4 linked regions of the Diceros bicornis minor genome follow. The protein of the gene in region 1 purifies or fractionates together with the protein of each later gene. This does not show direct contact. Links are inferred from orthologs where the notes say so. Each region holds a gene or a part of one and is shown in the gene's direction. Other genes may lie near its edges. The genes, in order: HDAC2, BCL11B, MIER3 and DDX5.

What was found.
Region 2: the proteins of HDAC2 (region 1) and BCL11B purify together in Homo sapiens (affinity purification with mass spectrometry; 4 studies listed by BioGRID and IntAct, with this or other methods). This does not show direct contact. The link is inferred for Diceros bicornis minor from reciprocal best matches to the Homo sapiens genes HDAC2 and BCL11B.
Region 3: the proteins of HDAC2 (region 1) and MIER3 purify together in Homo sapiens (affinity purification with mass spectrometry; 3 studies listed by BioGRID and IntAct, with this or other methods). This does not show direct contact. The link is inferred for Diceros bicornis minor from reciprocal best matches to the Homo sapiens genes HDAC2 and MIER3.
Region 4: the proteins of HDAC2 (region 1) and DDX5 purify together in Homo sapiens (affinity purification with western blotting; 3 studies listed by BioGRID, with this or other methods). This does not show direct contact. The link is inferred for Diceros bicornis minor from reciprocal best matches to the Homo sapiens genes HDAC2 and DDX5.

Annotation. Positions count from the first base shown.
Region 1 is NC_080762.1:21,797,150-21,805,059, forward strand, and holds the start of HDAC2 (histone deacetylase 2), read left to right. Parts: upstream 1-4,804; 5' UTR 4,805-4,945; coding exon 4,946-4,997; intron 4,998-5,904; exon of another isoform or gene 5,905-6,025; intron 6,026-7,910. UniProt on the Homo sapiens protein: Histone deacetylase that catalyzes the deacetylation of lysine residues on the N-terminal part of the core histones (H2A, H2B, H3 and H4).
Region 2 is NC_080763.1:44,453,913-44,462,025, reverse strand, and holds the start of BCL11B (B-cell lymphoma/leukemia 11B), read left to right. Parts: upstream 1-4,762; 5' UTR 4,763-5,076; intron 5,077-6,050; exon of another isoform or gene 6,051-7,423; 5' UTR 7,424-7,933; coding exon 7,934-7,991; intron 7,992-8,113. UniProt on the Homo sapiens protein: Key regulator of both differentiation and survival of T-lymphocytes during thymocyte development in mammals.
Region 3 is NC_080759.1:19,015,807-19,023,341, forward strand, and holds the start of MIER3 (mesoderm induction early response protein 3), read left to right. Parts: upstream 1-4,472; 5' UTR 4,473-4,484; coding exon 4,485-4,493; intron 4,494-5,939; coding exon 5,940-5,964; intron 5,965-7,535.
Region 4 is NC_080757.1:47,202,482-47,209,975, reverse strand, and holds the start of DDX5 (probable ATP-dependent RNA helicase DDX5), read left to right. Parts: upstream 1-4,463; 5' UTR 4,464-4,625; coding exon 4,626-4,669; intron 4,670-5,868; coding exon 5,869-6,034; intron 6,035-6,389; coding exon 6,390-6,486; intron 6,487-6,583; coding exon 6,584-6,717; intron 6,718-6,834; coding exon 6,835-6,900; intron 6,901-7,160; coding exon 7,161-7,302; intron 7,303-7,387; coding exon 7,388-7,494. Other genes in the region: CEP95 (centrosomal protein of 95 kDa), read right to left, coding at 766-873, 2,018-2,146, 3,593-3,611. UniProt on the Homo sapiens protein: Involved in the alternative regulation of pre-mRNA splicing; its RNA helicase activity is necessary for increasing tau exon 10 inclusion and occurs in a RBM4-dependent manner. Binds to the tau pre-mRNA in the stem-loop region downstream of exon 10.

The DNA of each region.
Region 1 (7,910 bases):
AGTCCCCCCATCTGGAGGAAAGTGATAACAACCAGTACATTGTTCATGCATCTGTCTTTAAACCTACTTTCTGGTACTCAACCTGCAAACCTCTCCCCAATTCCTCCTCATTAACAAGCAATAAAGTGGGGACCATTTAATTCCCAGTTGACCACACAATCTAATCAGTATATTTGCCACCAATTCCCATGAACTTCTCTTAAATTCTGTTAGTTGGTTGACAAGGCCCTCATCTTTCCTTTTTCAGAAAGCTTTCTCTCTCAGCATCCTAGCCTCATGACCAAAAACTTTGAAGAAATGTGAAGGGTCTGAAATTTTACACTACTTGCAAGCTAACCAGCTAGCCAATCACAGTTTCATAGATACTAGTATAAGACACAAGACTTCCATGTTAAAGACAAAGGATAATTTATTATTCAAAACAGCAGTGACCAAAGTATCAGCATTATTTTTTGTGCTGTTGCCCTGAGCCCCAATTCCTACAGACCAAGAGGAAGAGGGCCAGATGACACCTGCATTTGCAGTGGATTGCCTACAGGAGAGGAACCCTGAATTTAGGGAACCTGAATCTTTTATAATGGGTAGTATGCATGCGTGCCCTTTGCTACAGACAGGGTCATTTTCTCTATCTTCCAAAGCTGTTCCCTGTACAAAGGTCTTTGAATAGATTGTTTGGAACAAAAGGCATTCAGTACCTTGGCTCTCAAGATATTCAGAAACCCATGGAGAGTTGTTTCCTAACAGAAACCTATAGTTTCTTAGTAGAAATTACCAGAAGTCACTAACTTCTAATGCATATTTTGCATGAGTTAGGATGGTACTCAGCTGCATATAACAAAATCCTGACTACAGTGGTTTAACCAATGTGTTTGTTTTGTTTTTTCCCTGCATGTAACCAGAAGTCCAGAGGTAGACAGTCCAGGTCTGGTACAGATATAAATGAGGTCATCAAGGACCCAGGTCCCTATCTTCCTGCTCCACCATCCTTAGCATTTATTTTTCATCTGATGGTCCCAACATGCATACTCCACCTCCATTTGTACAGTTCTGGTGCTCCGTGGAGAGAAGTGGTTATCAGATTTGAAGGAAAGTCAAAAAAAATTGAGCTAGGAAAGAGGAAGAATTAAGATATATACATAGAGTAGTTAGGAGACAATAGCAAGTAAATTTTCCCAGACACAGTGTGGGTGTAGAGTTTTACTAGAAAATTTGTGCAAGTAAATAGATTGGATCAAAGTAATACCATGTTTTGTGGGTCATGAGCAAAGCATTAACCAATTAACAAGCTAACAGGGGTTACTTGAGGGGTTTAATGTAACTGAGTAACTTAGTACATAAGCTATGATTCAAAAATATATTTTTAATGAAAATGGGCAATTTTAAATTTTATTACACAAATGCACAGTTCAAATAGGACTATAATCTTTCATTGTTTGGTGCTACTGTTCTGATTTATGAGTTACAGCTTGTAGTACTGTGTAAAAATAGGCACCATGCTTCCAGGATCAGAATTCAGCTTGAGACTGTTTTAGTTTGTGACAACACCCCAGCGTTAGTCACTGTACTCTTCTACATTCTGTATTATCCTATGGAATTGCTACCTAGAATTTAACACCTTAGAGCAGAAACAAGCTTATGCAAATAATTCTTTTATAGCAACTAAAAATTAAGCTATCTGCCGCAGTTGATAGCAGGATTTAATTTTTAGCATAGACTGAGGCAATCAGTTTCTAAATAGTCCTATCTCTAAATAATCCATTTATGTTTAACAGATCATTTCATTGAATAATCTCGAAGCACTAAACATCTTCAAGATTGGAAAAATAAATTCCTATAGACAGAGAAGGAACTAAAGAAAAATAGTTTAAGAATAAAGACAATCTTCAAGTACTATGAATGAACCACGAATTCTAGAATTTTGTGAATGAACCATGCTCTCAACTTTTCTTCTACTGTATATTGTCTAAAATTCTCTTTTTTCTAATGGTAAAAATGTTTGATAGAGATGAGTTGGAATATAGTAAATGAAGTTTGGAGCTTTGTCAATGGATTTCAATAACTGATTCTACGTTTAGCTCTCATGATCTAAAGCTCATTATATGTGTTTAGGGACATAATTCTCATGGCCTGCTCTTACCACTGGATTAAACTCCTTCTCCAATGCCAGTTTCTAAGGGTAAAATAATTTGCTTCTATTGGCTTAAAATTATTAAATAATAAATAATGTAACAGGTTCTTCAACCATTCAAAATATATGTCTGGGTTCTTCTTATGAATTCAAGGCTAGGTGCTATGGATACAAACAATAATTATTATTACTATTATTATACAGTAATCATAATAATCCTTTCTATTCACATAGATCTTTATTGTTGAATGTTGTATTGTATTGAATTGTATTGTATTGAATATTGAATACTATTGTATTGAATTGTATTGTATTGAATATTGAATACTATTCAGCCATAAAAAAAAGACAAAATTGTGCCATTTGTGACAACATGGATGGGTCCTGAGGGTATTATGCTAAGCAAAACAAGTCAGAGAGAGAAAGACAAATACCATAAGATTTCACTCATACGTAGAAGATAAACAAACACATAGATAAGGAGAACAGATTAGCAGTTACCAGAGGGCAAGGGGGTGGGGGGAGGGCCAAAGGAGTAAAAGGGCACATGAGTATGATGATGGATAAGAAACTAGACTATTGGTGGGGAACACAATGCAGCCTATACAGAAACTGAAATACAATAATGTACACCTGAAATTTACACAATGTTATAAGCCAATATGACCTCAATAAAAAAATTTTTAAATACTATTCCATATTAATTTTCTTATTTGAGCTACTCAATATTCATATGAGGAATTACTCTCCGAGTAATACAGCCCCATTTTAGAGATGAGGCAATTCAGACAAAAAAAGTTTAAGAGACTTGCCCCAAGTCATAAGCACTGGAGATACAATTATGTGCAAGACAGACATGGTCCCTCCTCTCCTGAAACTCTATTCTAATGAGAACATTCAGAGAAGTTGTGGGCAACTGTAACATGGTAAGTATTGAGCTAGAGGGGTAGAAGTCACAACCACCATGTGAGGAGCACAGAAAACAGTCTTGGGGGGAGGGGGTAGAGTCAGGGAAGTTTCCTGAAGTCTCATTTCAGACTTCACTATGTGGGCTCTGAGAAGAACATTAGTTTCTACTAAATTAACTTATTCTGTTCTCAGAAACTAACAAGTTGATTTTAGACTTGATAGAGCAAAACTTTGAAAGTCAGTATCATGTAATTAACTTTACCTCTAACCTAAGTGTAATGTTTCTTACACTGTGATTCCCGTACCAACTGTATCAGGTACCTGGGGTGCTTGTTAAAAATATAGACTTGAGGGAGGAAAAGCTGGGCTACCCTGGAATTACTTTTTCTAAATTTGGGGGGTGGGGGAGGAGGTCCAGGAAAATTCCCGCTTTAAGTAGGAACACCTTGGGAATTTTGACGTCAAACAGCAAAAATAAAGAGGGTATTTTTGGTAGCGTCTCTAAATGGTTCCTGTTTCAATAAGGACTTTTTTTTTTTTTTTTTTGATGGGGGTGTGGGAAAATGTGTTATATTTGGGGGAAATTGTAACTGATAGAGGTGGGCTAAAAGTGCTACACTGCAGACTGTCCGCCCCCGACCCCTCACCCGCAAGATGGCTGGTTTACAGTGGGTGCTTGATAAATGTTTGTTGACTTGTTGAACACAGGGACACAGCTATTTATAACTTCCATGAGTTTTGCAAGTCCTTTTTCTTCCCTTTCTGCTCCAATGTCCAGCCAGCATCAGCAGCACAGTGGAGTAGCTAGCGTGTGTGAATTGTCGGGAAAGAATGAATTATTCAAATCCCAGACCATCACCAGTTGAGAGAACTAAATTCCTTAATCTCCCCCATTTATAAAGAAGGAATAGAAATAATACTTACACCCCAGTGTTGTTGGAAGTCTATACTGAGTTACAGGTTATCTACTATAAATAGGTATCAATGAAACATGTTGTAAATGCAAATACTTAGAACCGTGCCTTACACACAAATTGCATTCTTTAAACGCTCATTCAAACCCAGACAGTACACTCTACTTTTTAATCTGTTAACAGGTCCTTCTACCAGGTCAGAACCTCGGAGCAATTATCAGTAAAAAAAAATCAAAGAACAAATGAATAAACGTGAAAACCAAGGAGACCCGGCACAGGGTCACTGGACTACGGACTAGCCGGCTCGTGGCAACCACAAGGGGCTCTAGAGGGGTCTTTCTCCGCCCGGCTCGCGGCACGTGGTCCGCTCGGGCGGGAGCTTCGCGACAGTGGGGGAGGGGAGCGGCGTGCGACGACGCAGAGGGGGTCTCCGCAGCCAAGGCTACGGTTGGGGAGGCGCGGACTGCGCACGCTCGGGATAGGCGCAACCACTGTGTGAAGATCCGGAGGGGGGAGCGTTCACCAGGCTCCATGCTCTCTTTATGTAAATACGGAGCGAAAGCCTGTCCTTTTTTCTCGTTTTACGACCCTACTTGGCACTGCCCTCTGCAAGCTGTTCATCATTGAAGGCCTCTTATGCCAAGACTGAGGAGGCCTATTTCTCTAGTCGTGTCCCTCCCTCCCCCGTGGGGGCCACAGTGGACGCGTCCCACCTCCCCTCGGCCTCCGGAGGTGGTTGGGCTGCCCCCTCCCCCTCCCCAGTGTCGCGAGTTGGCGCCGCTGCCAACCCTCGCTCCGCGCTCTTGGCCCCTCGGCCGGGCGGTACCGAGCCCTCCCGGCGCCCCCTCCTCGCCTCCCACCGGCTCGCCCTTCCCCGCAGGACTGCCACCCGCCCCTCCGCCCCAGCCCTGTTCTCTCCCCGCCGAGCCGCGGCGGCCGCAGCAGCAGCAGGAGGAGGAGCCGGAGCCCGGGGGCGGCGGTGGCCGGGGAGCCCATGGCGTACAGTCAGGGAGGCGGCAAGAAGAAAGTCTGCTACTACTACGATGGTGAGGGGCCGCGCCGGGCCAGGGGGCGGCAGGGCTGGGGCGCCGGGCCTGGGGCCGCCGTCGCGAGTGGGCGCCGGTGCTGAGGGGTGGGGAGGAGGAGGGACCGACGCCTGGCCGCATCTTCACCCGTTCCCGACCCGACGCCGGCAGCGGGAGACCCGCGGAGGTGCGGGCGGCAGCCAGGGGACGCCCCACTCCTCCGTCCTGCCCTTCTTCCTCCGGCGGGTCGGTCTGCCGCTCCGAAGTGGCCGCCTCTGGGACGTGGCCGGCCATCCCCGGCTTCGTGGGTGCGGCGAAGGGGACGGCCCTCGCCGGCTCCTCTCCTGCCCGCCACTCGTGGGAGCGGAGGTTTGGGGGTGCCCTGCTGCGGCCTCTTGCACCCGACCCCTCCCCCGGGTCAAAATACCTACCCCGGCCGAGCCTGCACACAAAGCCCTGCGGCCTCGAGAGCTCCGCCCCTGCAGCCCCTTCCCTCCCCATCCCTGTGTGCTCCCCTCCCCTCGGTCTGCGGCTGGACCGAGCATCTTCTTTCTCCGCCTCCAGCCTCGCCCCGGACCACTGGACCCGGGTCGGTGCTGGAGAGCAGTTCCCGAGGGTGCAGGCCCCCCTCCGGCCTGGGGCACACTCACACCCCTGTTGTGCGTGGGCTCCATCCCTCTCCTTTGTTCGCCGGGTTCTTTGAGCGCCACTTTTCTCAGGATTCAAATGAAAAGGCTGCGCTTCCTCAATTAAAATCAGGGTTTTCGAGTTTGAGGTAGTCAGCCTTCGCGGGAAACATGACGGTGGTAGGGAAACGTGGAGCTGTTAATGCTGGTGTTGTGGATCCGAGACTCGATGGGTTCCGGCTTGCCTCTGTGAGAGGTGGTTACCACCCACTTCTTTGTTGCTCTTTGTTCGATCAGGAAATACACCCTGCTCTGGAGGTTTAGGAGAGCAGGGGCATCTTGCTTGTGAAAGCTGTTTCTAGGTGGTGGGAGTCCTGGTGTAGGAAAACTTTGAGGAGTAGTGCAGAAGTACTAAATAATCAGGTAAGCTTGAGCTCACGGTACAGTAAATTGTAAAAGTCAGGTAATTTAATTTTAGGGGTTCTTCTAATTTGAAGTTTGGGCAGTAACATTAAATCTCTGAAACCTGTTTCCTGCGCTAGTCTGAATTATACTAAGCGGAGTAGTAACCTGTTTTACACATTTCATAAATAAATAGGCAATAGTAAATAGTTGGTAAATAGTTCCTAGTAGGTTACTCTCCAAAAAAAGAATTCTAAAATTTAACGAAGAAGCTAGGCTCAAATGACCTGAAAGTCCTATCTGATTTGTCTGAAGCAATATAAATTTTGGAAGCTGTTTGCTACATTCGGTGTACTATAAATCACAAAATCTTAGAAAGGTAAAAAGACCTTAGAGGATTGGGTGAGAATAAATCTGACTTCAATTTGAAAATGGCCATCCCGTATCTCTTCAGTTAGCGAGGATGAATCTTCTAATGCCTGTTTATATAAAATAACCACCTGTGTCATTTGTGGAAAAATCTAAAATCTTAGAGAACGAGTAAGTTGTCTGATATTTGATAGCTAGTACTAAATAGTAACAGCCATATTTTAAAAATATGTTTCGAGAGGACCATGTATGTGTGTAATACATATTGATTTGAAATTGTGCCATTGTGGAGGGGTGGAGATGGGAGTATGTTTTAATTTTAACATGAATTATTAAAGTTTCTTAAAGTTCATTCTTGGAGAATTCATGCATGTTTTAGGTCACTGGTAAAACTCTTGCTTTGCATTCCCTGATCAAATTGAAAAGTAAACCATGTGTGTAAGTTACTTTTTAAAACTATGTTGTTTCTAAGGTTTAGAGATTTGTTCTTGTCAGGGCTTGAGGTAAAGAAGGCTGGTTTTAAAAAGTTGGGGGGAGCACAGGACAGATAGAACTGTTTGGTGGTTACCAGGGGCTAGGGGGTTGGGTGGGCACAAGGGGTGGAGGGATGCACTTGTATGGTGACTGACAAGCAATAATGTACAACAAAAATTTCACAATAAAAAATTAAAAAAAAATAGTTTGGGGGTACTGAGGCTCTTCTTGCTGCTGTTGGTTGCTGTTGACAGTGATAGGCTCTAGTGGAGTAAACTGCTTGTACCTTCTTGTCACAGGCTTGAACTGTGGAACCAGGGGGTACACTTAAGTGGCAGTTTTATAAACAGCTGTTTGTTCGTTGGCTCATTTATGATGAGCCTTTGTTGAGGGAATGGGAGCCAACTCTGGTCCCAATGGCGGGATGCAGGCTTGATAGGTAGAGTGGGAGTATCTAAGTCTCGTGATTGTGACTTAATCAATACTTTATAGTCGACCATTCAGCTGCTTCACCTGGTGGCCAGCAACAGGTGTGGAACTGAATGTAGGGAAGTCTCTGGTTGGATTGTCTTTTGTCCAAGGCTCTTCCTTGACTCATTTTTAGAATAGAATTTGTCGTTGCTTACATTTGAAATATTCTTTGGATTTTTGTGGGGAGTCTAATAAAATATTCTGCAGAGATTATTAAATTTGATAGGTATCGTTATGCTAATTATTAGTATATGATAGTGTGCTAAGCTCTGCACAATTAATTCCAAAAGCTTTTTTTTTAATTGTGAGGAAAGAGGATGCAAGTAAAGCAGCTTCTGCACCAAAGAGTTCTATGACTCGAAGGTATACAACATGGTCTGGATTGGGAGTGGGTAGTATCGGTAGAAATAGGGCCTGAATAATCTGCCAGCCTAAATTAACTGGTTTTAACTTGTTGGTAAAGCAAGTAGATGGAAGAAAGATAAGGAGGAAAAGAGTGAAGTAGCAAATTTCTGTAACCATAGGAATCCTACCTTTAGGCTTACTGGGACCATTAGGCACACTCTTGGCAGCAGAGAGAATGTCTAGCAGA
Region 2 (8,113 bases), on another chromosome or scaffold:
AGGTGGTAATTGAAAACAATAATTTGTACTGAGGTCCAGGTGGAATGGTTGGCTGAGGAAAAGACTCCCGTCACCGTTGGCAGCAGCTTTGTGTCACTGTGGCCTCTTCCCATCCCGTCAGCCAACATTGGTCAAACCATCCAGACACCCTCACTCGAGTCCCCTGTGGCTGGCGCGTTTACTGCCAGGGCTTGTTGGCCTTCCCATCACGGCCTGTGCATCCCGGTCTGGAAACTGAGGCCACAGGGCCCTGAGGGGAGCCAGGGAGTCCCCTGCCACCTCGGTGCAGCTTCTGTCCTTTCCTTCTTATGCTTTTCGACTTGCCTCTGGGTTGGGTGCATTGAGGTACCGGGAGCTAATTAAGGTGTTTGATAGATTTCAATTGGAGTATGAGTTCTTGCCAGAAACATCGACAATTCGATTCCCCAAACACAACGTGGAGTGTTAAACCCACTAATGCTTTATACATTACTGTGTTCCTTCCCAGCCGGAATGTGTGGTCTGGGTACAATACCAAAATGGTCCCCAAACAGGCCTCCTCACTCTTCAGTTCTCTAATTGTTCCTGTTAAGCAGATACAAATAATGAAACTGCATTTCCAACTGAATCCCAACAGCTGAGGAATCCACCCATTTGAATCCGGAGGTCCAAATTCAGACGTTAAAAAATCGACCGTAAATCTGCCCTGTATTTAGATGGCAGACCATCGGAGACAGGTCAGAGATGGGCGTCTTCGCTCTCACCCACTGTTTCATTTCAGGACACATGTGGGAGAAAGGGAGAGAGAGAGAGAAGAGAGAGAGAGGCAGAGGGGCTTTGTCACAAGTTCAAATGGAAACGTTATTGCCACATCCATATTTTAGAAGCCATTGTTGTTTCAACGATCCCAAAGGCTTAAAAATCACAGTGAAATCATTTTTTTTAAAGGATTCAGATTAAACTAATACCAGAACGCACAGCAATTCAGCGTCTCGGTTTTCCCTGGGCAGCATTAATTATCTTTTGTTGTAGCAAATTGTTTGCCTTGTAAATTGAGCTGAAAGTGTGTCTTCACGCAGATGCAATGTTTTAATACGTGCACAATAGAGCAACTTTTATAATTTCCACGTACTATAGGTATACTATTCCATCTCCAATAATGCGCCCGTGGTTCAAACTTTGTGTTGCAGAAGCTTGTGTGCTTGTCATCTTGCAACATTAACCCTTCTCTATTAAATAGAGGGAACGCCACTTAAGTGTTTTCTAGGATACAAACTACCTTTGTTAATTCACTCGAAAGCATACGTGCCTGTTTCCAAAACTACGAAACAACAGATGAGATCTCCCAGATCCTTTTTTCTTTTCCAGCTCTGGAAGGCATTTGCGAAACAAGGTGTTGGCTGGTTTTTATTTTTATTTTTTGGTAAGTACCGCCTTGCAGCCTTCTCATTAGCCTGCCTTTTGGAGGGATGCTAGCCTGACTCGTGCTTCTCTCTCCTTCTCTGTTCTTCCCTAGGCCAGTACTTCCCCGGATTCTCTTTCCACTGCTTTCTTTGTGGAGCATCACAGCACAGACAGGAGTTCTCAGAGCCTGGGATTGGCGGTGGGGGCAGAGCTTGCAACTGAGTCAGACTTGTCTACAACTCCTGCTTAGCATTTACTGAAACTTCCTCTTTCTCAAACTGCTTAAGGATACAAACTAATTAATCCTCACAGCCTCATAAAACCCCTTGTTAGGAAGGTGATCATTATTGCCTCCATCTCGGCCGCTCCCCGTTTCCTATCACCAGACTCAATGCAGCGCCAGTTCTGACGGCAGCGCCTGACAGCCAGAGTCGGAACTGAAAATTCCCTTCTGCATCCCAGTTCTTTCCCCAAATGAACCATTTTAACTCTCTTTCTCTTCCTTGTCTGTGGTCTAAATAGGGTAGATTGACAGTCACTAGACCCCTGAATTTAAACTGGTGTGTGTGTGTGTGTTGCACTTTTAGTCATACAATTTGGAGACTCAGTGACAAGAGGGAAAGCAGCAGAGAGACTCTTTTGTACAACACACCACACACCACACACATACACGCATACACACTCCCCACAGCCACTCTGATCTCTGTGCACATGGTGGGGTGGGATCTGGTGGAGTCTGATTGTCTTGGTGAACAATATTTCTCCCAAGTCGACCAACTGGGTGATGCCAGTCCCTACCGAATTTGAATTGATGACTCAACTAAAGCATTAAAATTAGCAAGGCAAGAAAATTCCAAATGAGGTGAGAAAGCTGTAGAAATAGTTCCAGATCCCCTAGTACTGAGCCATTCAATATCATTTCTGATGACAGGGACAGAGCTAGGAACAGTCAATGTGGGTGTGAGTCTTTTTCATATACGGAGAGCTGGGTAAGTATTTTTTAAGGAAAATAATACATGAATCAGGAAGAGTGACTTTGATTTAACCCCTTGCAGGCTGCAGCTCTAAAGACAGCAGGCAACGATGCCTCTTAGTTTTTCTAGAGCTTGCCTATGCTTCCCGCAGTTAAGCAATGGTTGGAAATCTACTACTGTATCAAGCCCAAATATTACTTGCAGAAATAAGTAAGGTGCAAATGATGTCATGTTTTAACAAAAGCGATGTTACTAAATTCAGGACACGGAGAGAATCATCCAAACGATTATCAGAAGGCAAGTTTTGTGGTCCTGTCTCTGCTATAAGGTGACAATCCGAAAAACTCCTCCAAATGCAGCAAAGCCTGAATTGAGTGCTTACGGCATTTAGAAATTTGCCGTAATTTTCAGAAATGATATAAAACAATTTTATAAGATATGCCGGGAAGCCCAAAAGGCCTCTTTTGTCTTTTTATGCTTCTGGATTTGATAGCTCCTAGAGATTCTAGAACTGTAAGAAGAAGATAAGGACCATCTCGGGAGCCTTATTAATATGTACATAAATATGACTTGCTTAGTACCTCCATTGCGGTTTCTTTGAAAGTTAAAACAAGTCAATCCACTGATCAGAACGCTGCATTTTATTTATCCTCATTTTCACAGTCAATAGCGTTTATAGATCCTGAGGAGTAGAAATTAGCAGACACAGTTTGCTTCTGAGTCTGCCCTACACCTGTGAATACGAAAAGATTCGCCTTCTCTTTGCACGGATTTTTTTTTAAAGCACCATAGATGAACCGGTTCTGTAAGATGTGCTGTTAAGTTTGTATATTGCTACAAAGTTATTTGACTACATTTTAGAGGATGGATCCATGTTAAAAAAAAAACAGCAAATGAAAAGTCGATTTTTTTCCAGCATAAACGTTGGGAGTTCTCATTTCTACTGACACTACTTATCTTGATTCTTTCCAAATTTTTGTAAAGACGTCATAGAAAATCTAACAGCTCAGAAGGCAAAGATAACATTGTAGAATCGCAAATAGAGCCCACCTCAGCTAAGAGTTAAGGATTGAGAATCCTTCAGAGAATTTTAAACAAGAAGCCTGGCTAGGAAGTCACGTGTCTGTTTAATCTGCCCCCCCATGCGTGGCATGGTACGAGAAGCACACATAGGGAATCAGAGCCCCACACAAGGTTAATAAAAATGCACTCTGATTTGATGCAATGATTTCTGATTTCTGAACTATTCTTCTATAAAGAAATTTAAAGTGACTGAGAATATGGGGGATTATCTGCTGGAATGCACTCTGAAGCTAGAAAAAGAAAAGCAGGGAAATATTTGTGAGTTCAAAAAGCTTTTTGACATCTGCTGTTTTATCTTTTTTTTTTAAAGATAGTGCAGAAAATGTGGTATTTCTTTCCATCTGATTGCAGTCTGCACAAAGCCACAGCCCTGGGCCCAGCACCCAGTAGGTCTGCAGCAGGTGCTGGAGAAATGAGTCTGAAGGATTGTAATATGACTCAGGACCACGTTTGTACTTGTACTTTTTCCTCTTTTATTTTCATATGTTAAGCACCCGCTCCCCCTCACCCCCCCTTTTTTGGGGGACGGAGTGACTTTTATTCTAAACAAAGACTTGGTAGATGAAGTGGTGGGGTGGGGGGGTGTGTGCGCGCGCCGTGACCTTCTCTGAAGAGTACTGGGTCCCCTGTCTGCCTGGGGTTCTGAGGAAAGGGTAGGGACGGGGCTGTGTCCCGGGCTCCCCATCTCCTCCCGCCCCGCCCGCCTGTTGTCTGGGCATCCGGAGAGTGGGGAAACATTAGTGTGGGCCAGCTGCCTAAGCCGGGCGGGGTCGAGGGAGAGGTCAAGGTCGGCGGAGAAGCGGCTATTGATCCGGCTTGGAACGCGAGACAGGGAGCGCAGCAAGACTAAAGGGGGAGCTGTGAGACCAGACATTAACAGCTTCCACCGCTAATGATGCCCGTGCCAGACGGGCAGAGGGAAAAAAAGGAGACTGGAGCGGCAGCTGGGATCGCTTGCTGCCTGCGCCCGGCCGCCTTTCGGGAGAGAGGAGGAGGAGGAGGGCCAAGGGGCCAGCGCGGGCTGGGCAGGGGCAGGGCAGCCTCTCCCGGGCCGCCGCGAGGTGGAGCGCGCCGGCCGGCGGCGGCGTGTCCGGCCCTGCGCCGGCCCGCCCGCGCGTCCCTCTTCCCGCCGTCGGGGCAGCGCGGGGCCAATGAGGAAGTGCTCCCCGGGTCAGTCGCGGCCCGCGCCGCCCCCTGCCCGCTACTTCCTGCTGGGGGTGGGGCGGGGTGCCCCCTCCCCAGACTCCGCCGCCCGAGCGCGCGGGGGGCGGCAGCTGCAGCCGGGGCCCCTGGGCGCCCCGCGCAGTCCGCGGAGGGCCCCCTTTCTTGAAGGCGGCTGCCGCGTTCCCCGCAGCCACAGACCCGGTCCCCCTTCCTTGTTATCATCGCCCCGAGGGCGAGTGTCGCGTGTCGGGATTTCGGGTGCCGGAGCGCAGGCGGCGCGGGGCAGCAGGCACGCGGCGGCGATTGGAGTCCAGACTTGCCCCTTGCGCTGTGTAACCTTGGGCAAAACGCTAACCTTCTCTGGACTTCACACGGCCAGTTCTCGGAAAGAGACCTAACAGCTCTTCCAAATTTAAGAATCTGGGCGAGTTGGGATGACCGGTTTATGGTTTTCTTAAGAAGTTTATGAAAGGTGCGTGTGGGCATTTTTTCTTACTTAGGCCACTTTCCTGGAAAGATTTTCGCGGTGGGGCTAGATGAGAGGAGAGGGAGGCGCTTCTAGACTTTGGACCACGTGGAGGTGGAGTGTGGGTTAGGAGTAGTGGGCAGCGGCGTGCAGTGGTGGGGAGGGGGAGTGCCGACTTGCCCCCGCCCCTTCCACCGCCCAGTCTCCACCCGCTTGGCCGCCGACCCTGCAGCCCAGTCCGCAAAACTGCATGCTGGGGCACATTTTATTGTTATTATTTTTGGGGGGGTGGTTTAGGCAGGGAGCTCTTTCTGGCCTCGCTAATGGGCGCTGCGCTCTGTTGAGTTGCTGGTACGGTGACCCCACCCGAGACCTTGGAGGCGAACAAAAACCCCATGTGCCCCCCAAGGAAAAGGACCCGAGGGAGGCGGCGAGCCCGGAGGCGTCTCGGCCTAACCAGTCGCTCGGGTGAAGCCGCCGGAGCCGGGCCTGGGGGCGGGGTGGGGTGGGTGCAGCTGGGCTCGCCCGCGAAGCCCAGCCCTGAGCCAGGCCCCGACCCGCCCTGGCCGCTTCCCGGCCCAGACCAGGAAACCCTGAGAAGGGAGAGAGGTCCAACCGCGTGGCGCGTCCAGCCCGGGAGGTCAGGTCATCAAATAGACGAGTTGGCCACGGCCTGAGGAGGGACGAGGCTGGGGGCGGCGGAGTGTCCATGCAGACCGCGGCCTGGCCTTGTCCGCGGGCCACGGACAGGCCCCCACAACTCCTCTTGTCCTCGCCGGCTGGAGATCAAACGGCTGACAAGGCAGCTGTGTCCTTCCCAGTCTGACCGGAGATTTCAAGTCCTGCCCTGGGCGGAGGAGCACTGGGGGTGGGGGCGTCACTTTCAGGTTGCAATAATTGTCAGTGAGTGGGAGGGAACTGGGGGACCTGAGGGGATCATCCACAGGAGTGTCTTCAGAGTACCGGCCCCGCCTACTTCTGGGTCAGCGCCGACAACTCCCTCTCCCACGTGGAGCACCCCTGCCCCCTTAGCCCCCACTTCCTGCTGACTCTGGTGTTAGGGGGTGGGGCCCGGATTTGACCCGCAGGAGTTAATGGGGTGAAGTGGAGAGAGCTCACAGATTCCGGTGAGCATTCCTTCCGGAATGGGACTCAAACAAGGTCTCATGTCCCCCTCCCCCAAATGTGCTCTTAATTCTCTCCTCTGTATATCTTTTATTTTGTCCACTTCGCTCTCCCAGAGTTTGTAATATCAGGATTTATATGGAGGTACTTTTTGGAAGTTTAACCCCGACCCCCGAATAAAACAAAAGTAAAAACAACCAAGCTACTTTTCCAGGGAGATGAAGCGACTGACCATGTCCCCCATGTCGACTCCAACCCTCCTCAACGCCGGCCCCCCCCCGACGTCCAAAAGAGCTTTCGATGGGTGGGTGGGGACTTGCGTTAATTCAACTTACTTCCACGCACGCAGCACTCCGCCCCCCTTCTCAGGGGGTCCTACTCCCAGGAGGGGAGGAGGGATGAAGAGGGTTTTCTTTTATTTAAAAATATCCTGCCCACCGTCTCCCCCCTCTTTGCGCTGCCAGTGCACGGGGAGAAGAGGAGCGCACAAAAACGCTGTTTGCACGTGTGGCCGGCCTGGACTGCGGGTGTGCGCACGGGCGAGTGTGTGTGTGTGTATGTGTGTGCGCGCGCGCGCGAGTGTGGCTCTGTGTGTGTGTGTGTGCTTTCTTGTTCTCTTACAGGGTACAATGTTAAAAAGCCACCGCTAGTCGCCCCCAGTGCTCCGACTCTCTGGGTCTTTTTGTCTCTAGTGCAGATTAAACGTCACGTCCGCACTTGAACTTGAATTTTATCCCATTGTACAGAGGCAGCCCCAGCCATAGAGAGACCGAGAGCTCCCAGAGAACCCGGACTCCGCCATCTTCACGTTGCAATCTATAGCTCCCAGTCCGCGCCCGCACCGACCCAGGCGCACTGGGCGAGCCGCCCCTCAGCCCAGCTCCCCCCGGGCCCGCGGCGCCAGGGGAGCGCTGGGGAGCGCTCGCGGGGACCCGGCAGCCTCTCCGGCCGGCGCCAGCCTGCCAGGTGAACTGGGAAGGAGCCGCTCCTGGAGTCAGTCCCCCAGAGCCTCGGAAGGGTCAGTCTCCGAGAAAAAAAACAGGCAGCCCGCAGAAAACCCAGAAACCACCGAACCGGGGCAGCTTTACATTGCTGTGGGTTTTTTGAGGGGGCGGGGTGAGGGGATACGAGACAAGTCCTCAAGTTTTCTTTTCTTTTTTTCCTTTTCTTTTTCTTCTTTTCTTTTTTATTTGTTTGCATTTTTTCCCCTTTTCCCCCCTCCTGGTAGAAGTGCGCTTTCCACCTACCAGACCCTGAAAGAAAGTCTCAGGAGCCGGTGCAAAATCCGGTTTAAGTTCAAGAAGACATTTGGAAGTCCAGGAGGCCAAGCAGTTTGAAGAAGTGTAAGAGATTTTTTTTTCCTTCAGAAGAATATATTTTTAAAGAAACCGGCCACTCCGCGGCAAGCAACAGCATTTTTTTTTTTTGCCTCTTTCTCCTATTTTAGATCGAGAGGTTTTTCTTTTCTTTTTTGTCTTCTGTTTTTCTTTTTGCAAACAAAACAAAAAACAGCATAGAAGAAAGAGCAAAATAAAGAAGAAGAGGAGAAGGAAGAGAGGGCAAGAGAGGAAGGGAAAAAAAAACCAAAACACCAACCCGGGCAGAGGAGGAGGCGCGGCGGCGGCGGCGGCGGCAGCGGCAGCGGCAGCGGCAGCGGCGCGGCGGCGGCTGGACCCCCTCCCCCGGTTCCCCCCATCAGTGCAGCTCTCCGGGCGATGCCAGAATAGATGCCGGGGCAATGTCCCGCCGCAAACAGGGCAACCCGCAGCACTTGTCCCAGAGGGAGCTCATCACCCGTAAGTGTCTGCGGCGTGCGCGCGAGGGGCCGGAGGATGGGGCTCCGGGCGCCCGGGGCTGGGGACGCCGAGCGAGGCGCAACCCGGCCGGGCGCCGAGGCAGCCCGCGGGCTCGCTGAGGC
Region 3 (7,535 bases), on another chromosome or scaffold:
TCTCCCTTCTGTTAACAATCTTTGTTTAGGTAAAGCTTATTACAATGAATTACCTTTCTCAGAGAGTAGTCATTCATTTCAACAAAAAATATTTGAGTATTACACAGGAGAAGTGGATATATTTAGAAAAATGCACGTAGCTTTTTCCGATGGAGAGCTGAATTGTTGGCATTACAGTCTTATCCACAGCCGTGTTGAGGGGTAATATTAAGAGGATGATCTAGGTTAGAGTCTGCAAACTGGAAGCTCATGGCTAACATGATTTACTTAATGTGATTTATTTGGCCCACACTGGATTCAAAAAACTTTTAATTAGGGGCCAGCTGGTGGCACAGCGGTTAAGTTTACACGCTATTCTTCCGCGGCCTGCGGTTCACGGGTTCGGATCCCAGGCGCGGACTGACGCACCACTTGTCAAGCCATGCTGTGGTGGCGTCCCATATAAAGTAGAGGAAGATGGGCATGGATGTTAGCCCAGGGCCAATCTTCCTCAGCAAAAAGTGGAGGATTGACAATGGATGTTAGCTCAGGGCTAATCTTCCTCACACACACTTAACTAATTTTTATCAACTAATTTTTAATTAGTTGATAAATTTCAAAAACCCGGAGTTTTCACATAAAAATCCAGCTTTCCAGATGTCCTTGGGAGATCAGAACGTCTGGCCTACGATTTCACAAGGCAAGAGCCGGTCTGCTGAGTCTAAGTTAGTGTCTGCCCCACTGAGGCAGGATTTCCGTCTACCGGATCGCTACTGCCCCCACTTGTCTTCACACTGGCTTGCTTCACTCATTCATTGTGCCTGACTGACTGCCAGAGGCCCTTGAGATTGAGACATTAACTTTGGATAGTCTATTATTTTCTCTTGGGTTAGATGAATCTGTAGAAAGCTCAATATTTGTATTGCATTACTGTGGCCCTATTAAAACTGCTCTCAGTAGGTCGTATGTTCACATGGTGCCCTCAGCTTGCATGGATGGTCACTAAAAGAAACAGTGTTGTAAAACCTGCTAGTGTGTTTGAGGATCTGGTGGACGATATTTCCCTCCACATTTCCATGTTGCTATAACGTAGCTCAGGCAAGATATTTCTTTTAAAGTGTCCTGAAAATCTTTGTCTCCATCGAAGAATTTGTATTTTCCTCAAAGACAATGAGCATCAAGCAACTGATTGTATTTACTTTTTTTTTCCTTTTGCTTTGGGTCCAGAAAGCTCTAAGCCAAATTTACGGTTTAACTCTCTTATTGTGTGTTACACCTCATTACCTGCATATTCTTGTTCTAACTTTTTCTCAGGTGTTAACTTCCTAGTCTAATGAGTTTCAATGGTCCTCATTTTTTATATTTACATTTTCTTATTTTATTGTACGTATTTATTGTAAGCCATCTCAAATCATGCATTTACAAAGTTCTCTTGATTTATTTCATTTCTAAAGATGGCTGGAGGATCTATTACATTTTGGTTCTCCTTAGGGAGTTACCATGGTTTCAGTTTTGAGTTTTCCTTGCTCTTGTTCCCATCGACCACATATAAGAATTAGTCAGTTATACTGTCAGCTTTTGAGGGACAAAGACTTGTATGGTGATCCCATAGTGCCCAGCATCCAGCATCAGATTTACTTTCTATATAATGCCACCATAGTGACAGGATAATGCTAACAATAGGAAAAAGTCATTTTTTATTTCAACTCCCTGGAACAAGGGGACGTTTTATCTGTACCAACGCCTGGAAGTCTTGTCATCAAAAAGAGTGAAAGATCCATGTACATACAGTAGACTTTACACACTTTATCATAAAAGGAATGTGTTATGTAAGACTGGGTAGTAAACTATTTTTCTAGTGATTAGGAGGGGGGAAAGTAGCTCAGCTACCTTAAACTGCGAATTTATTTAGCTTCACTCTCTCTCTATGAATCCTTATTTAATACCCTGGACACAGACTACATAAACTATGTACTATGATGGAGAGAATATATGCAGTCAAAATTACAAATGCCTATACAAAATCTTTACAGTTTAATAAAAAAAGAATCTGCAGAAACTCTAATAAGTTTATGCAAGTGCATGAGTCTATATATTTCTCACATACGGCAGAATGGAACCTAAGGCTACATTTATAGTTTGGATTAGCCATGTTTTGCTAGGAAGGAAACATTTTTCCTTAGTGTTAAGTTCGAGGTAGGCTGTTAGAGACACTTTCTTCATGTCCGGGGCTGGTCTGTGGTGGCTCAGACTGTGGTCAAGCTCGAAGCACTGTTTAATGGCTCTGTCCACAGGGCGTGCTCACTGCCACATTTCTAAAGTTAATCACTTGCACTTAATTAAGTCATTTTTTACTTTGAAATCTCTAAATGCCTCATTGAGGACAGTACATACAGTGTGTGCCAAGTTTCAAAGTTCAGCTGTTTTTGAGTTATTTGACTGGACAAAAGGTCGAAAGATATCTTTCACAGCAGGGAAAGTGTAATTTTCCACGTCTTTATGATGTTTTGAAATGGTTGAAATGATTTTTCTCCTAAAATTTCCACAAATAAATAACTTTTATCGGTAAATTTAATTTTGAGATGCCTTGGCAAAAATGTTGCAAGTAACCTCCTCCCCTCCTATCCATAACCCAGGATCCATAGGATGCATTCTTGTAGGGGAGAATTGAAGGCAACCCCAGGTTAAAATCCAGACCTTTCACAGTTGGACTAAGAGCATGGAAAGTTTTAGCTTCTAAAAAGTGCCTCAACTTGTGAGATCACAGCAAAAACCTCAACTCATCTTTTTTTTTTTTGCTGAGGAAGAGATGCCCTGAGCTAACATCCGTACCAATCTTCCTCTATTTTTTAGTACATGGGCAGCCAGCACAGCATGGGTGCTAACAGAGTGCTGTAGGTCCGCACCCAGGATCCCAACTCCACCAGGGAAGCAGAGCATGCTGAACTTAACCACTGGCCCACGTGGGCTGGCCCCTCTATTATTTAATATTACATGTTTGAGCAACAGTTGGGAGAAGAGCCCTGGTGTCTGAAATCCCTCTCCTCCCCAAGTCTCTGTGGGGTCCTGCCATACTCTTCTGATTGTGTTTGGATCTCAGTTATCCATGGACCTTACAGCAGACTTCTCTTTTCCATATTTTTGGAATTTCTTTTCCATACATATTGTTATTTCTGGCCTCCTGCCTCAATTAATCGTGTGCCAAGGCAACTCCGCATGGGACTTGAACTCGCAGGATTTTTTTTTTTAATTGAAGTATAGTTGACACACAATATTGTATTCGTTTCAGGTGTACAGAACTTCTTGCAGGATTTAACTCTGTGGGCTACAAAGGAGTTGTTAGTGAATATTTTTGGGTACCGTGCTCAAAGTTGTTCAGTGTGGACACGGACCTGCTACGAGTTAGACTTACCTCTCCCAGTGAAGAGTAAATGGCCATAACGCATGCGTAGGAGCCGGTATACCTGTTAAGCCTTGTCCTCCTTCCTCCACCCAATCACTTGCCCATAGAACTAGCTTCCTTTTTGACCCTAACTAAATTTTTGGCCTTTTGGGAGGGAGGTGGGAGGCAGAGTTTTTGAGACTCAGTTCAGGGCCTTTGATATACTATTCCCACCCTTCCACAGGTCTATCAGGTGTGTACCTCTGGGTTATCCCCCAGACTATTTGGTGATTAACGACCCTTAGGACTATTCTAATTTTTTTTCGTACCTGCACAGTTTATATTTTATGAGCATCTTCGAATTGCTCAAGTCTATTCATCATCGATTCTTTGCCCTATTGATCTTTTGTCTTTTCTTCCGTACTGTCACTGTCTTCCAGAGCCTGTTTGGCAAATGACCACTTCCACCGTCCACGAGCCAGTGTACGGTGGTCTGCATCCCCCATTCCTGCAAGACTCTTCGGGGAAACCGCAAAGTGCCTGGTCGCTGTCCTCTCATCCCGGACTGACGCTGCCATCCATTAGCCACTTCTCCCATTTCCCGGGGCTTCCTCTCGTCCATCAGTCTACTCCATCGATCACCTCCTCTCTTCTTTCTTAGCGAAGTCTGTCGAGTTGTCCCTCCAAGTCTCCTGCCCGCTTCCCCCACGCCCTACCGGACCAGAGTGTCTGTCGGTCGGTCCTCAGCCACCCCGGCCGATTCTCGGGCCTCGACTGGCCGGACGGGGGTCTGCCCCGCGCCCGTGCTTCCATCCGTCCCCCGCTCGCCTCCGATTCGGCAGGAACTTCACTCCAGCCGAGCGGGGAAGGGCGGTGCGCGCGGGTGCGGGCTGGGCGGCCGGCAGCGGGCGCGGGGCGCGGGGCGCGGCGAGGGGCGCCGGGCGGGGTGGGCGTGCGAGGGGCCGGGGGCGTCGCGGGCCGCCCTGCCCTATAAGGGGCCGAGCCGCCTCCGCCGCCGGGCGGGTGCCGGGCGGACCGCGGCGGCGGCGGCGGCTGCGATTGGCTCAGGCGCCCCATCCGGGGACTGGGCTCGGCGCTGCTCGTTCGCCCTAAAGGTACCAATATGGCGGAGGTGAGCAGGGGAACCGGGCAGGAGCGGCCGGGCAGGAGCGGGCGCCCGGCGGCCCCCCGCCTTCCCCGGCCGGCCTGGGGGATCCGGGGCCCTTCCCGCCGCCCCACGGGGGACGGCGCGGCGGCGCGGGGGCCGCGGGGCGGCGAGGGGCCGCGGCGGGGCCGGCCGGGGGGCGGGAGCGGGCGCGGGAGCGGTCTCCCTCCGGGACTAGGCCGCGGCGGCTCCGGCCCCGACGCGGCCGGGCGGCGGGGCGGGACGGGAGGCGGCGGCCGGCGGCAGCGAGCCCCGGCCCGGGGACGGTGCCGTACCGTGCCCCCGGGCAGCTGACGCGGGCCGCCGGAGCCTCCGCGCCGCCCCCCGGGGCCGGGGTGGGTGGAAACCGGCCGAGCCCCCCCTCCGCGGCCGGATTGCAGAACGGAGAGCGGGCTGCGCCACTGCCCTGCGGGAGGAGTGCTCGGTGCCCCCGGCCCACCGGGGCCGGGCTGCGGCGCGAAGGAGCCTCCCGCTCCACTTTGCTCGGGGCGCGCAGGCGAGCGGGATGCGCGGCCGCCGGGCTTCGCGGGAGGCGAGCGGGACTCCCCGCCCCGCAGCCCGGGAGGAGCCGGAGCCCCTGGGGGTGAAGGGGGCGGACCAAGATCCTCGACGCTCTTTCCAGGGGCTCTCGGTAGCCCCACTTTCCTCTGGGCTGGAGGAGGGAGGCAGGGGGAGTGAAGCTGCCCTGGCCGTGTCCCTCGGGACTAGTGAGTTGGGGGGAGGGGGTGGCGCAGCAGGAGCCCCTCGGCTGGAACTCGCTTTGGCGAGGGTCTCACTGGCGGGCCCGAGGAGGGACTGAACACCCTGGAGAGAACCAGCATCTCTGAGACTGAGGGGCCGCGTCTCCGGACTCAGGAGAGAGGATGGGGGGCTTGCGCTTTGGTTGGGGGCGAATGTCCGACTGCGAGCCGGCCTACGCTCGGGGGTAGAGGACAGCCCAGGAGTTGGGGCTCCCGGGCCCCAAGGGATGGACTAGGTGCTCGGAGGGCGAGTCTGTCCCTTCCAGGAAAGGTTGTTGCCTTGCGAAGTGTTGTTTGGGGCCGTGGAGAGCCTGGTGGGATTTGGGGGACTCCCGAGATGCCGGGGATGGGGTACCGATGCTGCGAGCTGACTGCTCTGGGTTTTGCTTCTCTGCTTTGTAACTTGCTGAGCTCCAAGGGGCGGCGTGGAGTTGCCTGTTAGACTCCGGGCTTCGTCCCGGGTCTGCGAGTTTGTACACTGGGGACTCGGGGAGGAAGGCGAGGCAGCCAAGAGGGGCCCGAAAGGGGCCGGGAGCGATTGGAGCGAAGCTACGTCTTGCACTTTTGGCAGCTGCAGAGGAGCGCTGGGCTCCGCCTCCTCTGCGCCCTGTTGCCGGCGCTGTCTCTTCCCCCGGCAGCGCGATCTAACCGCACGTTTTCTTCTCTCTCCTAGGCTTCTTTTGGAAGTTCGAGCCCAGGTTTGTCCTATTTTCTTACCTCTTCAGTGGGTCCCAAAGGGTAATGGGGGCTCAAAGATCTATTGCTAAAGGTCTTCCCACAAAAATTTGTCCTGCTAGTTTTTCATCATTTGTTTTCAAGAGTTTCAATGTACATTTTGGTAATTTAATTGTTCGAGGAAGGAACAGTTATACTATTCTCTTTTTTGCTTGCATGTTGAAAAAATACCTTGTTACAAAGCTGCCAATAGACATGTTCTTTTTAAGTAATATATCTTTAATTCTCACATATCTTGTTTTTTCTCCAAGCCTGGAACAGTTTAATCACTAACTTGAGTAGTTTAGTTTAGATTTTAATTTTAGTTTCTCCAAGAAATCGACTCTTTAATTCGTCAGAACTTTGGGGTTGCTTATATTGATTATTAACCATGACTCCCCATCTTCCCTTATTTGGTCTTATAAAATTTTCATAATTGGGAAATGTCTATAGATTGTGTTAAAATTGAAAATTGAGAGGTAAAGCTGCCTTAAAAGAAACACAGAATTTCCGATTGGCACAGAAAAGTGGTAATGTAGAATTTTTGAGGTGAGACAACTTTAGATTGTCTAGTACACTGTTTCTTATCCTTTTTGGGGTCAGAAACCCCTGTCGGGATCTGATGAAAGCAAGAGACTCTCTCTCCAGAACTCTGCACATATGCATAATTGCATACGTTTTGGGGTTTGTAGAACCCCTGAATCCCATCCATGGCAAGGACCTTTCCTCATGTGCTAAAATGTAAGGACAGCTTTGTTTCGATTTCTCATCCTCTTTCCAGCCCCCTCTTGGCTGCCTCTTTTCCATCTCATAGTCCCCAGGAAAAGTACCTCTGAACTAGTCCAACTCCCTTATTTTACACTTGAGGAGACTTTTAAATAACTCTACTAAGAATCACCAGTTAATAGCAGAGCCTGGATGAGCTCCCAAGTCTTCCTTTATAACCTGTTGCTTTAGAGGGAACAGTCCATTTCCTTGCATATTACTTTGTGTATTTAGTCGACTTTTAAGGTCTTGCTTGATTATTGTTTAAGGTATTATAAAATAATTAATCAACACCAAGTAGAAGAAATTTGTGGCTATTTTAAGAACAGCTGTCTGCATCTTTACATTTAAAAATTGTTTTAAAAAGTTTCTCTAATTTTGAGACATTTTCTTTGTTATAACTGATTTCAGGGGAAGACTATGTACATGATGCCAAACATCTGGATGATAATGGAATTTTTCCGTTTTGCATCACTGTCTGCTTTTAAGAAGTTGCAATGTAAATAAAAAGCAAAAACGCAGTGTGGTTTTGGTGTTTAAACAAACTTATAACCTGTTTTTAATCAATTAGCCAATTTTAAAGAGAATTTTAGAGCTAGAAGAGACTCTTGAGGTCATTTAAGCCAACCCTATGTATTTTACAAATGAAAAAGTGGACCCAGGCCCAGAAAGTTTAAATGACTTGCCTCAGGTCCCAGAAAGGCAGGGAGAAAGCCAAGAGTAGACCCTCCGACCTTTCATTTCTCGCCCTTATTGAATACAGTCCACTGTAAGGGGGAAGCCTGCTGTG
Region 4 (7,494 bases), on another chromosome or scaffold:
ACTTTGTTTTGGAAAAAGATTCAAAACAATTTACAGTTTTATTTTGAATAGGTAATATATTCACACAGTTCAAAATTGAAAAGGGGCAAAAGGTATACAACAAAAAGTCTCATCCAACCCTTGTTCTGCAAACCTGAAGTTCCCCTTATTGGAGGCATTCAGTATTACAGGTTTCTTGCATATGCTTCTAACGAGTTCTTCTGTATGCAATCAACTGCATATATATTCTCCCTACCTTTGTTTTTAGGAATAGTAGCATACTCTGCACATTATCATTGTAAGTGCACCACATTTTTCTCACACAATATATAGTGGAGATTGTTCCACTAACGTGAAACATTGTACCTAAGGAGCATCATCAATCATCTTTCACAGCTGCAGAGTAGTTCCCTGTAATGAGCTATCATAATTTATTTAACCTGTCCCTAATAATGGACATTTAGGTATTTCTAATTTTTAGCTACTACAAACAAGCAGGATGGTAGCTTTAAAATAATAGAAGAACAACAAAACATACCTCAAATTACCAGCTAGGATACTTACATCTCAGACCCAGAGCCATCACAAACTCAATGTCTGACTCTTCTGGAAAAGCTCTCAAGGATGGCTGACTTAACTACACCAGTCAACTGTCTTGGCTCAGTCTTGCTGGTTAGTCTATTTCATAAGATTACTCATTTGTTAATTAAACAATGTCTGGGATTCTACCTAACAAATTATTTTAAGTAAAATGCAAAATTATCTGATAGCTAAGTATATACCAACCTGTTATATGAGACAAGCTGACCTGCAGGTAATCCAAGGCCAATGAATCAATTACTGCTTGTACATTGTGAGCGTCATCCTCTTGACTCCTAGGAATAGCTATGAGGTCTGTGGGAAAAAAGCCACATAATTTTGCATCTATGAGGGGCCAAGTTTTCACCTATCTGTCTCTGACCAGGCTTGTGAGTAAGCTCCACTGCTACAAAACTAAGCTCTGCCCAAACAGAACAGGCTATAAAGTACAAATAAAGTTAACAGAGCCTGAATTCCACACAGCAGAATCTTTACTGGTTGAATAATTATTGACTGAATATTTATTCAACCAAAATATATATGAACGTGCTCTACAATGAGCACCATGCTAAAGGAAGATAGAGAGGTCCCTAAATTCAAGGCGATGCTAATATTCTAATAAGGGGGCAATACATGTGGTGACACTTTAACCCATAACCATGGGCTGCTTTCCATGAGAGAAAAAAACCCACAACAGGTGTGAAAGTAGAATTCTTGCATGTCGTGTTAAAGCAGCCTATTGGGAATTATTGGTACAAAGGATTAAAAGGTCAGTATGGACCAAAGTGCAGAAAGATTTTAATATCAACTTAAATTTGGAGTTTCTCCTCTGGTATTGAGGAAGATGAATGTTTTGGGGTAGGATGAAAAAAGTATTTTAAAGGACTAGTCTAATAACTACATGCCTCTGAACTCTAAAGACGGTTGAGACTAGCATGAAAGATACCAGGTAGAGACCATCCCATTATTCCAAGAGGTGATGAGGGCACTGACTCACGGTAACAGGGGGAAAGGAAGAGAGACTATACAGAGCTTATAATACTTAATGGTTATCAACTATGAAAGAAACAGAGGCAAGAGAGGAATTTATGGATAAGGACTCTGAGGTATTTAACCAGGGTAACAAACAACAATTCTTATCCATAATATTGCTTAAGCAACAGGACCCAACAAGTTTCAAAGTTCCACTCAATTTTAGAACCTTTGAAGGTAGATTGATGGAAAAGGTATGACTTTCACAAGGCATTAGGCATAATTAAACAGCGATGACCAAGGCTGTTATTACAGGTGGGTCTCCTAGGCAGTCATTAAGGTAATGAATGCAATATTTAGATAAAAATAAGAAGCAGACAAAGAGAAAACTCAAGATTTTATAAACACCATAGGATCTAACTAACAGCACTAGAAACTTGCGGCCTAAGATACAGACAATATTACTCTCACTTTTTAGTACCCTTACCTGGCACCTTTTCTCCCAAAATGGATTGATAAAGAGCAATAAAAACATTAGCATCACAATCTTCTAGTTCGTGTATCCTCAGATGTATGTGACATTTCAAAAGAAGGTTATTGGCAATGGTTACCCACTCTGTTGGGAAAGGGAAAAGACCAACCTTAAATAGCACTAGAAAGAGTCATATACATACATTAAAAAAAAACAAGCCCCACAAAAACAGACACTGAACTCTGTAGAAGATAAGGGATTTGATTGTTATAAAATTTCAAAGACCCTCCTAGGCATGATTTTTGAAAAGATGTATTTAATTTCTTGGGATGATTTCCAGAGTGCCAGAATTTCAATGTAGCCAAAACTACGATGTGAATCCAGCTTTCACTGTTGCAATTGAAAATTTTAAGTTACTTATTGTAGTTCCTATTTTACAAGCCATACATAGGTGTTTTTATGTAAAATATATTTACAAGTAAATGGGAATACTGTCATAAACAAGACAGTTAATGATAATCTGAGATTACTAGAAACTAATTAATGGATGTTGCTTCAAATTCCCAATAGCATTAGTCACGTTTTTACCCAATTATCTTGTGCAAGTCAGAATTTCTCTGGTGTCCAAAAAGGGGCTGTTAAGAACTGGAGTAGTGATGCCAACACTACTACACTTGTTGGTTTTTAAAATTATATTTAATGCATATGAACGAAAATATGGGAAATATATAAAATGTCCCTAAATTCAGAACTAGTACATTACCAATACTGTTGAACTTTCCTGCCTACCACCCCACCCCACCCCCAGATACTGTTGGGATTAGGCAAGTTATTTCAAGGGTTTTTCGACCAAAGGTAATTTAGAAAGCTTGAAACATTTGTTCCCTGAAATGACTGGCGATTAAGGGGAAAGTTCTTTTATTCCGTATTCGATATCTTCAGTATGTCCTAGAAATAAATGTGTGTATGTGTCTTCAAGGCACATTATCTCCCTCTCTCCGTGTCCATCCCTCAAAGCTGACCAAACCATGACAACTGGTTTGAAGGCTGTCCTGGAGAAAAGGATGAAAGCGTCCTAGACAACCAAATCAACTCGTTTTTCAAGTGGTGCTAGACAAAGCCGGTAACTCTAGAGGGCACTGAAGAGAAAAATCCACCACTATTCTACTTTGGCAGGGGCATCAACAGATCTTAAGAGTGCCATTCCTCAGAAATTCAATACAGACGGCAGGTACGACCTGAGTTCCCACAGCGAGGAGCAAAGAGCACACCGACAAGGGCTAGAGTCCCGAAAAAAACACTTGCTGACCGCCCTTTTGCACCAGGATACCGGCGTGCTACGGTCCTCGCCGCAGGGCCTCCTCTCCCCCGCCCCAAAATCGCGCTCGGTGGCCTCGAAGCGGACAGGGAATGGGGTTAGGAGACCCTATCCAGAGAGCCCACCGTCTACGACCGGGTGTGTCACCAGCCCCGGCGGCAGCCCAGTCCTAGTTGAAGCCGGCTCGAGGCCTCAAGATAAAATGGGCAGGGCCGTTCAGGGATTTGGACAGCTTCAGTCCACACATACCACGGCTCCAAGGCGAGACTCACCAGTCTCCGACCCGGCCATGTCGCGGAGGCAGGTCGGCACCAGACTCCTGGCCGGGCGCGCGGTGGACGGTGTCCTGGAAGGGCCGCAAGGGGCACACACAGTGCTGAGAAGAGGCGGAACGAAACGAAAGCGCAGCGAAGGAGGGGTGAAGGAGGGAGGGACGTTAAAACGGCCTCTCACTGCTGATTGGTCATCAGAGGAGCACTTCCTTTCGTAGCACGCGCCGGGGCGGCGGTTTGCGGAGTCGAGGTACCATTCTCCGCGACAAGATCCTGCTAAGGGATTCTCCGGTGGGTGGGTTTGACAGCCCAGGTCACCCAGCAGCCCTGGCCGGTCTCTCAGGGGCTTTAGCACGGCACTTCCGGTGAGCTATTTCGTTTTGTATTCTTCCGCTGATGCCAACTGGGGAAGTAGTGCGGTCCACTCACCGGATGGGGGGGCAGCCACGTGACAATGCCAGGCTCCGCCTTCACGCCTTCTCGTTTGGTTATGGCCGTGAAGGCTCTTTGGAGACGTAAACATTTCCAAGTGGGCTGACCATTTTATCCCTTGGGCCGGACCAGGAAAAGGGCAGGGTGGCTTCCTTAAGGTGTAGACAGACGAGAAAAGGGTGGAGTCAAGAGCGTGCAAGCTAGGGCCTCCCAGTGGTGGGTGGGCCCAGCCATAAAAGGGGCGAAAAACGGGCGACTCTGAGGGAGGGGCCTGGGGGGAGGGGCGAGAACACGGCGGATTCCGGAACGCCGGCGGGCGTTGCGGCCTCAGCGCAGGGGCGGGGTGATTAGGTCATAGAGCGGCTCCCAGCATTCTGTGCGGCGGAGGAGGCGGTCCAGGCTATAAAACCGGCTGCCGGGACGCGGCCGGCACCTCATTCATTTCCACCAGTCTCTTGTGGAGCACTTCTTGCTCCAGTCATCGCTGTCCCTCTGCTTCTGCCGCCCCCGCAAGGCTTCGCCGTCGTCGAAGCCAGCTCCAGCGACTCGTCGCACCCGTTTCTCTCCACTTCGTTCCCCGCCAACCGCAACCATTGACGCCATGTCGGGTTATTCGAGTGACCGAGACCGCGGCCGGGATCGAGGGTAAGTGTGAGAACTGACCTGTCAGGCCCGGCGGGTGGGGGATGGGAGGCCGATAAGGGTCGCGGCGGGCGGTGGAGAGGGTGGGAACTTGTCTTTTTCAGCCCACCCATGGGCCTCTTCAATGGAATGTTTGATATTTGTCCAAAAGTGACTAGAAGAGATTCGCCTGTTAACGGCCCTCGAGCTCGCCCTTTGTTTGCGGGGGCCATCAGGGCCTCGGCGATTTAGCCGCTGTTGGGAGAATGCGGAGGAGCGTATTTCTAGGGCAGGCGAGCGCGACGCTTCGAGGCGGACGGAGTCGCCGCTTCTAGGTGCAAGCTTTCCGGAGGTGTTTTAGGGGCCCCCAGGATTCAGCGGGAGCCAAGGGAGCCGCCTCTGAAGCCTCCGCGGGGGCAGGGGGGTGGCCGGCGCCGCGGGAATCGGCCATGTGGCTGAGCCGCGGGTACAAAATGCCGGCGTCGGACATGGCGGCGGCGCCTTTGTTACCCCGCCCGGCGGAGGAGCTCAAAATGGCAGCGTCGAGAAAATGTGGCGCAGAGAGAAATGCGAGACAAAGGGGGAAGCGCCGCCCCAGCGGGAACGCCGCCCGGCCGACTCCGCCTGGGTCGGGACTCCTCCCCTGGTAGTCGCCAGCTCCTCCTCCTCTTTTTTTCGCGTTATGTAATTTTGCTACCTTGCTCCGGGGCCTTTCCGCGGGATCCCCCAACTCCACTGGCTTCAGCGTCCTGGAGAACCCTCATTGTAATGCTCTGGCTGCCTGTACTGTCCCGTTATCCACTTAAAACCAAAGTTGCTGTGCTTGAAACAGCTGAGAAATAACGTAGCTGTTAAGCTTCTCCTTTCTTGTATTGTTTCTCTCCCAGATATTTAATTCATAAGCTTGTGGGAAAGACTGGTAGCCACAAGCTGTTGTCTGTACTTGTAGTCTGAACTTCTGGCGTTTGGGCAGTGTATTTCCGACCTGATAAATCCCGGGCTGTTGACTTAGCTTCAGTAGTGTGTACTTGGGACCACGGGAAATGAGATAGATAGGATGCTGATTGTGGGTTTGGGAGAATGACCATCATTAAGGCTAGAGCTAGATCTTAAACCTCCAAAAGTCTTTAATTGATCTTGAGTGTGTGCCAAGGGTTAGTAAGTCTGTCTATATGTAAAGCCCTGTGTAGGCGTTTGAAAATGTAACTCTTTTTTAATTTCAGGTTTGGGGCACCTCGATTTGGAGGAAGTAGGGCAGGGCCCCTATCTGGAAAGAAGTTTGGAAACCCTGGGGAGAAACTAGTTAAAAAGAAGTGGAACCTTGATGAGCTGCCCAAATTTGAGAAGAATTTTTATCAAGAACACCCTGATTTGGCTAGGCGCACAGCAGTGAGTAATTTCGTTGGCCCCACTAGGCTGTAACTCAGTAACAACTTATAGTAAATGGAAGTCGGACCAGAAAGGTCTAGCAAATGACCAAGTTTTGAGAAATTACTGCTTTTTGACTTGGTAGTTGGGGAAGAGGTGTTACTTTTTGGAAACAGTTGGCTTTGAGTTTTTCTACTTAGAATGGTTGAGTGTAACACGATATGGGGTTCTTGGGCTATATAGGGTTTTCATATGTGGATCCAGATTTAAAATGGCAACATTAATGTAGCTAATCAATTATAAATTTAGGGGCCTACTGATTGTGTTAGAGGCGGTTATCATGACACACACTAGATTATTGTAATTTGTGTTGTAGCAAGAGGTGGATACATATAGAAGAAGCAAGGAAATTACGGTTAGAGGTCACAATTGCCCAAAGCCAGTTCTGAATTTTTATGAAGCAAACTTTCCTGGTAAGTGCTACTTTTGTTTCTTCTCCTTTTTTTTTTTTAATTCCCCCCTTTCTCTTGGCCCTACTAATTTTTACTAAGTTGCTATTGCTAATTACAGCAAACGTTATGGATGTTATTGCAAGGCAGAACTTTACTGAACCCACTGCTATTCAAGCTCAGGGATGGCCAGTTGCTCTAAGTGGATTGGATATGGTTGGAGTGGCACAGACTGGATCTGGAAAAACATTGTCTGTAAGTTTGGGAGAACTTTTGAGTTACTCTGTGATGGGTCTAGAGAACATGGATTGGGCATACAAAGAAACCAGAAGTATATTAATGGTACCTTGTTGTCTGCTCTCCTCTGAATAGTATTTGCTGCCTGCCATAGTCCACATCAATCATCAGCCATTCCTAGAGAGAGGTGATGGGCCTATTGTAAGTATATATGTATTTTCTCTTAATTTTTGGCTAGAAGTGTAATTTAGAGATTTTATAGACTATATAGCAAAAGACATAATTTGTGGTGGTTTTGTGGGGAGACTCTAGTTATCCTACTCGAGTTGACTGGAGACAAAGCATTTTAGGGTATTGGACAGCAAAATAATATGCCACTGTAAACTGATAAATTAGCAGTTGAAAACTGGGATTCAGGTCTCTGGTAAAAGCTCTTCTGCTTTCTGTTCCTCTTTCCTTAGTGCTTGGTGCTGGCACCAACTCGGGAACTGGCCCAACAGGTACAGCAAGTAGCTGCTGAATACTGTAGAGCATGTCGCTTGAAGTCCACTTGCATCTATGGTGGTGCTCCCAAGGGACCACAGATACGTGATTTGGAGAGAGGCATGTAAACAAAAAAGGTTCTCTTCATTACTGATGTTGCTAAAAGTTTTGGATGTCTTGGTTACATTTATGTGTTTAATTGAAGGTGTGGAAATCTGTATTGCAACACCTGGAAGACTGATTGACTTTTTAGAGTGTGGGAAAACCAATCTGAGAAGAACCACCTACCTTGTCCTTGATGAAGCAGATAGA